Canis lupus familiaris: one gene and its partners. The protein of the gene in region 1 interacts with the protein of each later gene in a pairwise test. Links are inferred from orthologs where the notes say so. Each region holds a gene or a part of one and is shown on either strand. Other genes may lie near its edges.

Region 1 (3,510 bases):
CGTCCTCCAGACCTGTCGGTGGACAGTCCGGACCTATGTCATCTGTGATGCTGTCAAGAGCTGTTTGGTGGAGTGGTGGGGTCAGGGAGGAGAAGAAGACAGCAAGTCAGACTTGTCTTTGAGAGCTTTGCTGGAAGAGGATCAGATAAATGGGGCAGGAGTTGAAGATGGATGTGGATCCAAAGAATATAGAATTCCTTGAATTGCTCCCGAAAATTGCTGGGGCCATGTCCCTGAGAAGATGAGAGGGAGGATCTCCTAGGTTCATGGGGGCCACAGGCAGCTCATCCAGAAAAGAATGAAGAGCAACGTGTGGATCTCGTCCTGTGTGGTTAAGTTCCCCTCTGAGGGCAGATTCTCCTGGAGCCAAGAGAATCCCTCAGCTCTGGTGCAGCTCCTTCTCCCCAACCCAGGAAACATGCCCTGACCCTGGGGACCTTCCCAGGCCCTCCTGGAGACTTTGCTCTTCTGCTAAAATCATATGCCTGGAGTTTCTTAGACTTCAGAAACACTGAGGAGGGTTAACGCCTTCCACGTTCTAAAACTCCCAAACTCTGGGACCCCTGGCAGACCCTGGAAAGTACGTCCCACCCGCCTTTGGCCTCCAAATCTCTGATGGGGTTGTTAAAAAGGCAGGGTCCCAGAATCCACCGCACACCTGCTAAGGCTGGCCCCTCTCCATCTGTAACCGCTGCAGAGATTCTGTTTGCAGTGTTTCGAAGCTGTGCTCAAGCGCTGTTTTTCCCACTGCAGACTGTGGGCCCAGCTGCACGTCAGAATGACCCGTGGGAGCTCTTATGCTCCCAGTGCCCATGCCCCACCCGGCAGCTGAATTAGGATCTCTGGGGGAGGGGGCTGGACGTCTTTTCAAGTGCCCCGGTGATTCTGAGCGTGCAGCCAGGGTTCAGGACCACTGCTGCGGTTGGCAGTACTTTTTAACTGGAATAGAGTAGGGGCGCTTGACGGACTCTGTCCAAGGAGCGTCCGACTCTCGATCCCAGGGCTGTGAGTTTGAGCCCCATGTAAAAATAAAATCAAAAAAGTAAATAAGTTGGGACGCCTGGGTGGCTCAGCAGTTGAGCATCTGCTTTCAGCTCAGGGTGTGACCCTGGAGTCCTGGGATCGAGTCCCACATCGGGCTCCCTGCATGGAGCCTGCTTCTCCCTCTGCCTGTGTCTCTGCTCCCCCCTCCCCCCGCCCCTGTGTGTCTCATGAATAAATAAATAAAATCTTTAATAAATAATAAATAAATAAAAAGTAAATAAAATTAAATGAACTAGAGTAGAGTAGAAAGCATTAGAGTGTCAGAGCAGTGATGGTAAGAGGCGTTTTATGAGGCCTTTGTTGCGTGTCCACACATGGAGATTTGCATGAACTTGGGGTGGTGCCAGAAAATACATTTTTTAATTGAGAGTTATGGCAAGAAAAGCTTCAACAGCCACTGGTGTAGTTCAGTCTCTTCATTTTGCAGATGGTAAAACTGAGGCCAAGAGAAGTGAGTACAATCAGCCAAGGTTACAGAGCTAGCAAGAAGCAGGCAGGACCAGAAGTCAGGGGTTTTGGGGGCTTTCTTTGTTTGGTTTTGGATTTTTTGAAGATTTATTTGACAGCAAGAGAGAGCGTGCATGCTTGCACAAGCAGGGGGAGTAGGAGAAGGAGAAGATCAGCCCACTTGGGGCTCGATCCCAGGATCATGACCTGAGCCAAAGGCAGATGCTCAACCGACTGAGCCACCAGGCACTCCCTGAAGCCAGGCTTTTGCTTCTCAGGTCTTACCTCCGCGGACCCCATTCGTGCCCACTCAGGACCACTCCTGGGTATTTCTCACTCTCGGGGGTCCCGATGACTGCAGAGTTTGGGGACGTGAGCCCGAGGGAAGAGAGCTAGGTTGGAGGAAGCTTTGTGAGGAGTTGAGACCAACTGCAGTAAGGAGGAGGAAGGTTAGCCCTCGGGAAGAACTTCCCGTTGAAGTTAAGAATAGCTAAAGTCAGTGGTGCGCTGGGCCATAGCTGCAGTGTTTGACGTGGATGACCTCGTTTAATCCTCACGACGCTACAAGGTTAGGTGCTGCCATCATCCCCATGTCCCAGATGAAGAAGCGTAGGCAGAGACGTGAGTGAAGCCAGTGCTCAAAGAACCACTACCAGCAAAAGGTGGGCCAGACCCGGGGCTGGCGCAGGGAAGGCCAGCCGCCAGCTCACTGCCCTGGTGCCCCCACCCTGACCCCTGCAGCCCCAGGAAGGCAAGGTGTGCATGAGACCTGCCCTGCTCTCTCCCCAGGGGACACGTCAGTCCTGGCGGGCGTGTACGGGCCAGCCGAGGTGAAAGTCAGCAAAGAGATCTTCAACAAGGCCACCCTGGAGGTGATCCTGAGGCCGAAGATCGGGCTGCCTGGTAATGGGCGGCAGGAGCTCCACCTTCTTCCCCTCCGCCGTCCCCACCCTCAGCTCTTTGCGCCTTTCCCCGGCTCTTGGCCTCCTGTCTGTCCCCCACCTCCTAGTCTGTCCTCCCTACTCCTCTTTCCTGGCTCCATCTCCCCTTCTTTCCACTAACCTGTTTTTCCACCCGTTTACTCTCCCCCTTACGCTGAGGCTGGGTTCAGCAGCCAGCTGAGAAGTGGGCAGCGGCAGGGGACAGAGGAACTCAGGGTTTTCCTCCCCCAAGAGGCTCCCTTGCTGGATGCTGGAGGGGGCAGGGGTGGGGCGGGGTGGGTCCGGTCAGGCCCTGCCTCCTTCCCACTGGGGGTCCTCTGTCATCCGTGCAGGGTCCTGCACCAGCCCTGGTGGAGATGGCAGGCCCTCTCCAGAGGGCTTGGGTGGGGCGTGTGGAGGAAGGTGAGCCAGATGGAAGGAAGGGAAGAGGCTGACAACCCCACCCCGCCCTGCCCCACCCCTGATTTTCCCCAGGCGTCGCGGAGAAGAGCCGGGAGCGACTGATCAGGAACACGTGTGAAGCAGTGGTATTGGGAACGCTGCACCCCCGCACCTCCATCACTGTGGTGCTGCAGGTCGTCAGTGATGCTGGCTCTGTATCCTTCTCCCCCCAGGCCGCCTCCTCCAGGAAGTCCTCCAGAATCTCCGTGGTGGCCTCCCTTGCTCTGTTAGCCAGGAGGCCTCCGAACACTTGACAGGCACCCTCTTATTGAAGAATAGCAAACCCACTTGAGTGCTCACCACGCGTCGGGCACTGGTCTGAGTGCCTTATACATGTTAACTCACTTCATCCTCACGGCACGACAGTTCGGTGCCACTATAATCCCCCATGGCCCAAATGGGGAAACTAAGGCACAGGAAGGTCAGCTTCTGTCTAATAATGCAGAGCGAGGATTTGAGCCCAAGCCATGTGCTCCCAGAGCCCGAGGCCCCGGGCAGATGGGAGTTCCTATGTTCCCATGTTTGAGGTGAGGAAACAGGCCCCGAGAGGGGAAGTCCCTTACCCAGGGTCACACAGCTGGAAGGCGGCAGGGGCAGAACTCAAGCCCAGGCCTGACTGCCTACAAAACCTGTGCCA
Region 2 (4,151 bases), on another chromosome or scaffold:
GGCTAAAAGAAATGTAATGCATTCCAGGAACCATAAGGCTAAAACCCAGTGAACAAGGGGGCATGTGGAAGAGGTAACTCTAGATGAGGAGGCCTGAGCGTTCATGGAGAGCTCTGAAAGCCACAGTTATGAACGTGGGTTTTATCATAAGGGTAGTGGGCAGCCAGCAAATTCTCAGCAGGAAAGGCAGACATATGTGTCTTTTACAACCATCACTCTGACCCAGGGTGGAGGAGGGAACAAGAGAGTGGGGCTACACATACCTTGTTCATCGCTGTAACCCTAGCATCTAGCAGGGTGCCTGCACTCAGTAAATGTCTGTGGAATGAATGACTGGAAACAGAAAAGGCTATTACAGTACCCAAGGCTTGGAAGAAAAGCGTCCCCATTTGCGATGTTACATAAGCTGATGTAATTAGTAAAGCCCCGACTGAATGTAGGAGTCTGGGATGAGGGAAGGAAAGAGGCAGGCAAGATTCCCCTGTATCTGGCTCGAGCGCCAACTTTTAAGTTCGGTGGGCAGAGCTGAATGAGACGGATAAGACCGGATAAGGAGGGCAGGGAGAGGGTTCACAGCCGACTATCAGATTCCCTCCCAACTCCCACCACACGTGCGTGTCTGAGCATCTGAGGAACACCGGGCACCAGAGCCGCGCGGGGCTCCCCGAAGACGGCGGCGGCGGCGACACTCTCCGCCTCCCTGGCTCTCCCAGACCCATTCCCGGCCCCGCCGGCAGGCGCCATTCGCGGGATAGTCGGCAAGGGGCGCCGGGCACACAGGTAGGAAGACCTGGGTGATGGAGCTGGCTGTCCACACTACGGAAACGCCTCGAACTTCTGGGCCGCGGTTTCGTCACAGGGCCGCTGCGAGCATCCACGCAAAGCTCCAGGCCCCAGCTGGAGTCTCACCGCTCGCAAAGACGCGCGCGGAATCCCCACGTTTCTTTCGGCCTGTCAGGTTCAGTCGCCCCGGGTCCGCCCGCGTCCCCCGGCCCGGAGTCGCTGCCTACCTGGCAACCCCGTAGCGGCGGCGCGCTACCGCCCGAGCTGTTTCCTGCAGGCAGCCTCTCTCCCCGGGCAGCAGCAGCCGGTGCCTCGCCCGCCGGCCTCAGCCGCTGCCACGGCTACTGTTTACCCGTAACGTCATTACCTGACTGCGGAAGTACTTACCCCGCCCAACCCGCAGAGCCTGCTGGGAAAAGGGCCTGTGGGGAGGGACGGCTGCCTACAAGATCCAGAGGCCTTTGCGGCGGAAAGGCTGCCGGAAGTAGCCGAACGCCAACAGCGGAATTCTCCCAGGGGCCCCTCCCTCTCCCGTGATTGGGTGCTGGGCATGGCGGCGGGGCGGGCGGGGCTGGGCCGCGGCTCAGGGCGGAGTCCGCGGGCGGAGGATGTGAGCTCACGGCCCGGGATTGCTGGCGGGCAGGCGGCCACAGCCCCGGGCGGCACGGGGTCGGCTTGCAACCCAGCTGAGAGGAGACGTGCCCCCCGGGAACGGTGAGAGGCGGGGTGCGGATGCCCTGGGGGACAGGATGGACGGGCCGCGGGCTGGAGCAGGAGCAGGGGCAGGAGCCCCACCCGGGGCTGGGGAGAAGGCGTGGGACGGCGGAGGGGAGATGGAGAGCGCAAGTCCTCCACTGGGGTGCGTGTCAGAATCGGTCGGCTTCTCGGTGTGAGGAGGGGTGCGGCCCGGGGAAGACTCCACCGACCACGGAGAGGTTGGGTCTCGCTAATCTTTCCAGACCTTTGGGACGAAACCTAAGATTTACACCTCGGATTTCTGCTGGATCCGCCTCCTCTACCCAAGATTGGCCACCCGCCCCCCACCCACCCCACCGAGTGTCATGGACCCATGGGTCCGTCTTCTAGGACCCCGCCTTCTTCCACGGCCGTGGTTGTGGTCCTGCCCTTCATTCTGCTTAGGTTCCCATTAGCCTCACTGAGGGAGACTCGGATACGCCCTCAGCCCCAGGCATCCCCAAATACCCACACACAAAGTCCGGAAGGAACTGCAGTGAGGCTATCAGTGGAAACTTCATTCTCTCTGGAATTACTTTCTGGGGCGTCACCTGCCAAAGATTCCTGGAGCCCATTGGCCCGGGAGGAATCTGAGCGGTCGGCATCTGAGCTGACGTCATCCAGGGGCTCAAAGCAATTGCTTTGTAGGCTCTGTTGGCCACCCCCTAGCCTTTGAGTTCCTTTACTTTGGCGGAACATATGTTTGCTTTCTTTGATCCTGGGGAAATCGGGGCTAGACTCAAAATGCATAGGGGACTTGCTAAAACCTGTTAAGGAGTGGATTTACTCCATTGGGGTGGGTGGGGGAAGGTGAGGTGATTTCATACTATCACGTGTTACTTAGGGATTGGACAATCTGCTGGTGAGGTTCATCTCCTCCGTACTCCATCCTTGAGGCAAGTGAGTCTCCAGGACAAGCCACCAAAGAAATTTGGCATTTCAGAAAGCAGCCGCTCTGGTCCTTCCTTGGACAGTCTTCCTAGAGGGCTACCTAAATCTTTTCAGGGACAATTTCAGTCTAACAAACTGAAATAGATTAAATACTTTCAGATGTGCATGACATTGTGCTAATCACTGTTTGGGATAGTAGAGCAGTAAACTTGGGGAAGCCGGTGCACTGCTTCTGGATCGCACTTGCAGGAGGTGATGTGCAACAGTAAACTTTTGCATACTGTGATGACTGCTGAGGCAATCACACCTTTTTTTCTGTCTGCATTACCAACACTGCAGGCCAGGCGTCCATCAGTTGCCTAGACTGCTGCTTCCTTTACTCTTCCTGCTTGCTCTCGTGCACCATTACAGTCCATTCTCTACAGGGCAGGCAGAGTGATCTTTTCAAAATGCAAATAACTCAGGACCTATCACTCCCCTGCTTAAAACCCGCCAATCGATTACCATTGCAATTAATCTAAAATGCAAACTCTCTAATGTGAACTGGCCCGTGCATTACCTGATTTTACATCAAGCCAACTACCCTCTTCTTTCTAAGTACTGGACATCTTGGCCTTCTTTCTGTTCCTGAAATTTGTGTCTGATTGAGAAACTTTGCACTTACTCTTCCATCTGTTTAGAACACTCTTTCAGACTTCAGCTGGAATGTCACCTTCCCAAAGAGGGCTTCCTGTGCCCCCATCCGTCTTAGTACTTCTCCCTAGTCATTCTCTTATCCCTAGTTTATTTATTGCATCTTACCTTCTGGAACTGCTTACTTAAAGGTAAGGTTGGTATCTATCTCTCTGTTCCTACTGCTTAACATAGTAGGCACTCAGTCTTGTTTTACTGCTGAATGAATTAAATGAAGTAATGTATATATTGTCTACACACTACCTAGACCATGGTAAACATGCAGCAAATGTTTGCTCTTTTTTTTTCAGTGAATGAATTTTAGTGATTCCTTAGAAAACCAAGATGTATATATAGTATAGAATCTAGCTCCTGAGGGGTGACCTGGCTTTTCCCTCCTCTGCTTTCCTCACTCCTCCTTCCTGTGAATGCCTATCTGTGTTTCAGTTTCCAAATCACTTAAAAGTTGTTTTTAGATTTATCATCTGGTCTTTTCCAGCCTTGTGGGTAGGGAAGAAAGGAAGGGATAGGGCTGGGCCCTATCCTTTCAGGAAAAAGAAGTAAAAATAGCCATCCTGTAGTTGTTCTAGCCTGAAAAATGGTGACAGTTTCAGGAACTTGGGACAGGGCGGGGATCAAGAGAGGTGAAGGTGAGGAAACCGCTGGGACCTGGGTAACTCTGCCGGGAACATTGACCAGTACCCTCCACCCCAGCTCATACCATGCTCTCCTGGAGCTGCTTTTACTTTACTTTCTGAAGCCACACTGTGGGTGGTGCTCAAAGTAAGCACTGGCGCAAGCTGCTTTGGAGCTTGGAATCTTTAGAAAGGAAGTGCATCCTGTCCCTCTGGCTCCTGGGACTCTCCTGCACTGGCAGAAGTCTTGGGTCCTAGGAATCTTGGGAAGAAAATATGTGGCTCCTCAGGGTAAAGACTTCTGCTGCCCCATCTGCTCCTCAAACCATCTCAGACTAGCTCCAAGGGTTTACTTGTCCTCTGTGCTGCCTTGACCTGTGCCGAGGCTCAAGGAGGCTGGCGAGATGATGGGCAGGCTCTGGAAGACTGTGCTGG
Region 3 (4,304 bases), on another chromosome or scaffold:
TGTGTCTCTGCCTCTCTCTCTGTGTGTCTGTCATGAATGAATGAATAAAATCTTAAAAAAAAAAAAACAACAACCCGTAGATTGAAAACAGCTCTAAAATAAATCGTTTAGGGACGCCTGAGTGGCTCAGCAGTTGAGTGTCGGCCTTCGGCTCAGGTCATGATCCCATCCTGGGGTCCTGAGACAGAGTCTCACATCGGGGTCCTGGCATGGAGTGTGCTTCTCCCTCTGCCTGTGTTTCTGCCTATCTCTCTGTGTGTCTCTCATGAGTGAACAAATAAAATCTTTAAATAAAATAAAATAAAAATAATAAAATAACTCATTTATTATAAACAAATAAACAAACAAACAAAAAAACACATCTATAGTTGCCAGGGGAGCAGGGACTGTTAGGGGCAGGGGTGGAGGCAACAAGAGACCCAAGTAGGAAGCAGAGGCAGCCTACAGGCCTGGTCTCTTGCCACCGGGGCATACAGAAAAATGGACGAGGGGCAGCCCCAGTGGCTCAGCGGTTTAGCACCGCCTTCAGCCCAGGGCCTGATCCTGAAGACCTGGAATTGAGTCCTACATCGGGGGCCCTGCATGGAGCCTGCTTCTCCCTCTGCCTGTGTCTCTCTCTCTGTGTATCTCTCATGAATAAATAAATAAATAAATAATAAATAAATAAATAAATAAATAAATAAATAAATAAATAAATAAAATATTTTTTAAAATTAAAAAAACAAGAAAAATGGACGAAGTGGGGTGTTTCAGAGACACGGGGCCAGTAGGAACAGCGTGGAGGTCAGGAAGAGAAGACTGTGAGACTCCAGGGCCTCTGGCCCACGCTCCTGAGCTGCCCTTACTGAGCTGGGGTTGCTGATGGGGGAGCAAGCCTGAGGCGGGAGGTCACCCCAGTGTTTCAATGAAGGGTTGAACGGCAAGGGGCATTTGACATCTCATTTTATGAGGGCCCAGGTGTGGGGGACGAAAGCCTTTCTGATTTGTGGCAAGACAGCATTCTTGGGGATAGCTCTTCCCAGTCCTGGGGCCAGCTCCCTGAGACTGCCCCCAAGGATGTGGGCTTGCCGTGTGGCCTCCTGGCAAGTTCCTGCCTCCACGGTGTTTTTCTCCATCTGTAAAATGGGAATCAATGACGTCCCGCCCGCAAGCCTGTGGGGACCTCACATGAGCCCCGCTCAGTGCCCGGCACACGGTGGGACCCCGATAAACTGCTCACCCCTTCGCCCTCCCCCTGGGTCTCCGGTGGCGGGAGAGGAGCCTGTTGCTTTAACTTATGCAAATACACTGCGGGTGGTGGAAGTGGGGGGTAATGAGAAAAAAAAAAAAGCAGCCTCATCTCTGGATCAGCCAATCAGCTCTCCGGACTGACGGAGCCGGCCGCCTAAATGGCCCAATGGCGGGCCGCGCGGGCTCCAGCCCCGCCCCCGCCTCCGGGGGCCGTCTGGTGGGTGGGGACTCTCGACGCCACGCCCCGGGGGCGGAGCCAGGCGGCAGCCGCGCCGCAGCCGCGGAGGTAGGGGCGGGGCGGGCTCGGGTGTCAGAGACCGAGCCGCAGGTGGCGGCGGGCGCGGGGCTCGGCCGGAGCTCGGGAGGTGAGTGCTGTCCTCGGGACCCCCCGAGTCCCCTGGCCCGCGCAGCCCCTCATGCGCACCGCGCCCGGTAGCCCCGGAGGCCACTGGGGGCAAAGGCGCGGCGGGGCAGGAGGGATGGCGAGCTGGGGGTTGGGGGCTGCGCGGTGGGCCCCTGGCCTCCCAGAGACCATCATCCAGGGCCTGCGGAGGGAGACAGGGACCCCTCTCCAAGTCCCCCGTCTCCTGGCCTAGAACCGGAGCGTGCAGGATGGTGGCTATGACGTGAGACCCCTCCCCAAATCCCTTTATTCTAAGCCTGGATCTGGGTGTAGGTTCCAGGGCTGCAAAGATGGGGGCGCCGCTCTCCCTCCAGCCTGGGACCCAGACAGCCGAAGTGGAGACCACGCTCAATTTCCCTCTTTCCACCTCTGGTCTGCAGACCCCTGAGGACCAAGATGGAAGAAGCCCCTTCCCTTTTTCTCCACTGTGAACCGTGATGGGCCTGGAGGAGGAGCTGGGGGTCCCCGGGCCTCTCCTCTAGACTGTTCTATCCCAGTCCCCTACCGCAAGGATGAGGTGGGGGGCGTTTCACTGTCATCCTCTGCAGGGACCCCCAAAGTTGGAATTCTGGGGAGGGGGTCAGTGTGGGGTGCCTTGCCTCTCTGGGACGGGCCAGGCCAGGCCTGGGAGGGCCTGAAGCAAGGACTTGGGGGTGGTCCCTGCCTCAGTGGGGGGTGGGCAGCAGCATCTGTTCTCTGGGATTAAAATAAATCGAGGTAAATTAGGATCTCGCCGGAGGCTGACTGCGAGTGGGGTGCGGAGGAGGGTTGTGGGGTGGGCGGCCCCTCCATCTGCCTCAAATCTGGGAGTTGCCTGCCCCAGCCGCAGTGGGGACCAGGAGGCAGCTTTGATGGACCTGCCTCACTGGTGACCTTGGGCAGGTGACAGCACCTCTGTGAGCCTTGGTTTTCTCCTTTGAAAATAGGGATGAGGGCTTGAGAGGCTGTATTCTCTACAGATTCTGAACCCACACACCCCACCATATACCAAACTATAACTCCCTACTTCACTTAAGATGTGGTTTGGGGGTGAGAGGGCAATGGGTTTGGAGACCCCCTGACATGCCTTGCTAGCCTCTGAACCTCAGTTTATGGTGCTGCAAAATGGATTCGTGGTCACTCTGGCCTTGCTGCAAGGGCTGTTCTGCCAGAGAGTAAAACATGTTACCCGGCTGCAATCATTGGAATAGGGGCTCCACCGCCCTCGTCTTACCGGTGGGACTGCCTGGGGCACACCCTGACCCATATATTGTCACCCACGCCAGGGGTGAGCCGGTTCCATGGGTGGGGTGGCGGGTAGGAGGAGGTGGAAGGCACCAGGCCAGCCTGTCCCCTGACTCTGCGGTGGGCACAGGGGTGAGCTCAGAGCTGGGAGTCCAACACCACCAGGTTCAAACTGATTCCTCCCGTGTGTGGCTTTGCCCCCCTGGGCCTCGGTATATTCTCCTGTGAAATGGGCTGGATCCCCCTTGGAAGATCAGAGGAGACGTGGGAAGACGGGAGCCCTGTAAATACAGACACGGTCATTATAATACTAATTACAATATTAGCGATCATAAATGAGGTCACAGCTGACAGGGAGAAGGGAGGAGAGAGGGGAGCCTGCCAGGGTGTTGCCAGCTGCGTCTCTAGAGCCCGCCAGTTAGGTACACAGTTGGCGCTCAATAGGTGTTTGCCAAAGAGATGATAAAGGGAGGAGACTAGTGGCGGAGGATGGAAAAATTACTGAGCTTGACAGCCTGGTCACTGTGCGACATGGGGCATGTGCCTCAGTTTCCCCATTGGGGTGATGGTCAAGATGAGACACTGCCTCGAAGCGCCATTGTAAGAGTCGAGCCAGATTGTGTAAAGGTCACTGGTGGCCGGTGGCGAAGGGAGGAGGCTCCTGACAGGACAGGTCATTGAAACAGCGCGGCCACAAGGCTGGCTAGTCACTGGAAAGGGAGAGAAAAATCTCAGACTGGCCCCCCACTATGCACACACTAGTGTCCAGGAGGAGCAAAATGTCAGAGCCTGTTTCATAGGACCCTGGAGGCACAGAGGTCAGGGTAGGCCCAAGGTCACAGCAGGAGGTCAGGGCTCTGGACAGGTGGCTTAGAGCCAGTGAGCTCTGCCTTTGCTGACTCCAGTCCTGTCTTGTTTTATCTGTTCCTGGGCCTGCTCACATGCTCGACCCTGCGCAGAGCTGTGGGTTTTGGGGAATTGGTGCTGGGAAAGCAGAATCTCCAGGCAGCACCTGGGGCTGTCAGACACCTGCCCCCGCCCCCCAGGACTCCTCTCCGCTTCCAGAGGATGGGGGGCATCCTGGTCCAGCTGACTGCCTGCTGTGTGACCTTGGGCAAGTCCCTGTCCAGCTTTGGGCTTTGCCCTGGTGCTGTGGAGGCCCAGAGTCCTGGGTTGGAGCAAAGCTATTTTCTCCATCAGGTAGAGAGGCCTCCATGTCTTGGACACGGCACTTTCAGAGGCCCATGAAAGATAAGATGTTTTAACTTCTTTCAGAATCAGAAGGGAAAAAACATGGGCTTGGGGGTCAAAGAATACATTTTATTTATTTATTTATTTATTTATTTATTTATTTATTTATTTACTTATTCTTAACGAATTCATTTTAACACATACTATTAATATATTCATCTCTGTGCCAAGGCAATTTGTAACATATAGTTTGAAG

The links. The genes of interacting proteins can lie anywhere in the genome.
Region 2: the proteins of EXOSC5 (region 1) and TNFAIP1 interact in binary tests that used the Homo sapiens proteins (3 or more experiments, as listed by UniProt). The two-hybrid records come from large-scale screens. The link is inferred for Canis lupus familiaris from reciprocal best matches to the Homo sapiens genes EXOSC5 and TNFAIP1.
Region 3: the proteins of EXOSC5 (region 1) and FCHO1 interact in binary tests that used the Homo sapiens proteins (3 or more experiments, as listed by UniProt). The two-hybrid records come from large-scale screens. The link is inferred for Canis lupus familiaris from reciprocal best matches to the Homo sapiens genes EXOSC5 and FCHO1.

The regions. Positions count from the first base shown.
Region 1 is NC_049222.1:113,387,507-113,391,016, forward strand, and holds part of EXOSC5 (exosome complex component RRP46), read left to right. Parts: intron 1-2,280; coding exon 2,281-2,394; intron 2,395-2,906; coding exon 2,907-3,028; intron 3,029-3,510. UniProt on the Homo sapiens protein: Non-catalytic component of the RNA exosome complex which has 3'->5' exoribonuclease activity and participates in a multitude of cellular RNA processing and degradation events.
Region 2 is NC_049230.1:42,558,336-42,562,486, forward strand, and holds the start of TNFAIP1 (BTB/POZ domain-containing adapter for CUL3-mediated RhoA degradation protein 2), read left to right. Parts: upstream 1-1,351; 5' UTR 1,352-1,497; intron 1,498-4,151. UniProt on the Homo sapiens protein: Substrate-specific adapter of a BCR (BTB-CUL3-RBX1) E3 ubiquitin-protein ligase complex involved in regulation of cytoskeleton structure.
Region 3 is NC_049241.1:45,538,867-45,543,170, reverse strand, and holds the start of FCHO1 (F-BAR domain only protein 1), read left to right. Parts: upstream 1-1,504; 5' UTR 1,505-1,595; intron 1,596-2,846; exon of another isoform or gene 2,847-3,138; intron 3,139-4,304. UniProt on the Homo sapiens protein: Functions in an early step of clathrin-mediated endocytosis. Has both a membrane binding/bending activity and the ability to recruit proteins essential to the formation of functional clathrin-coated pits.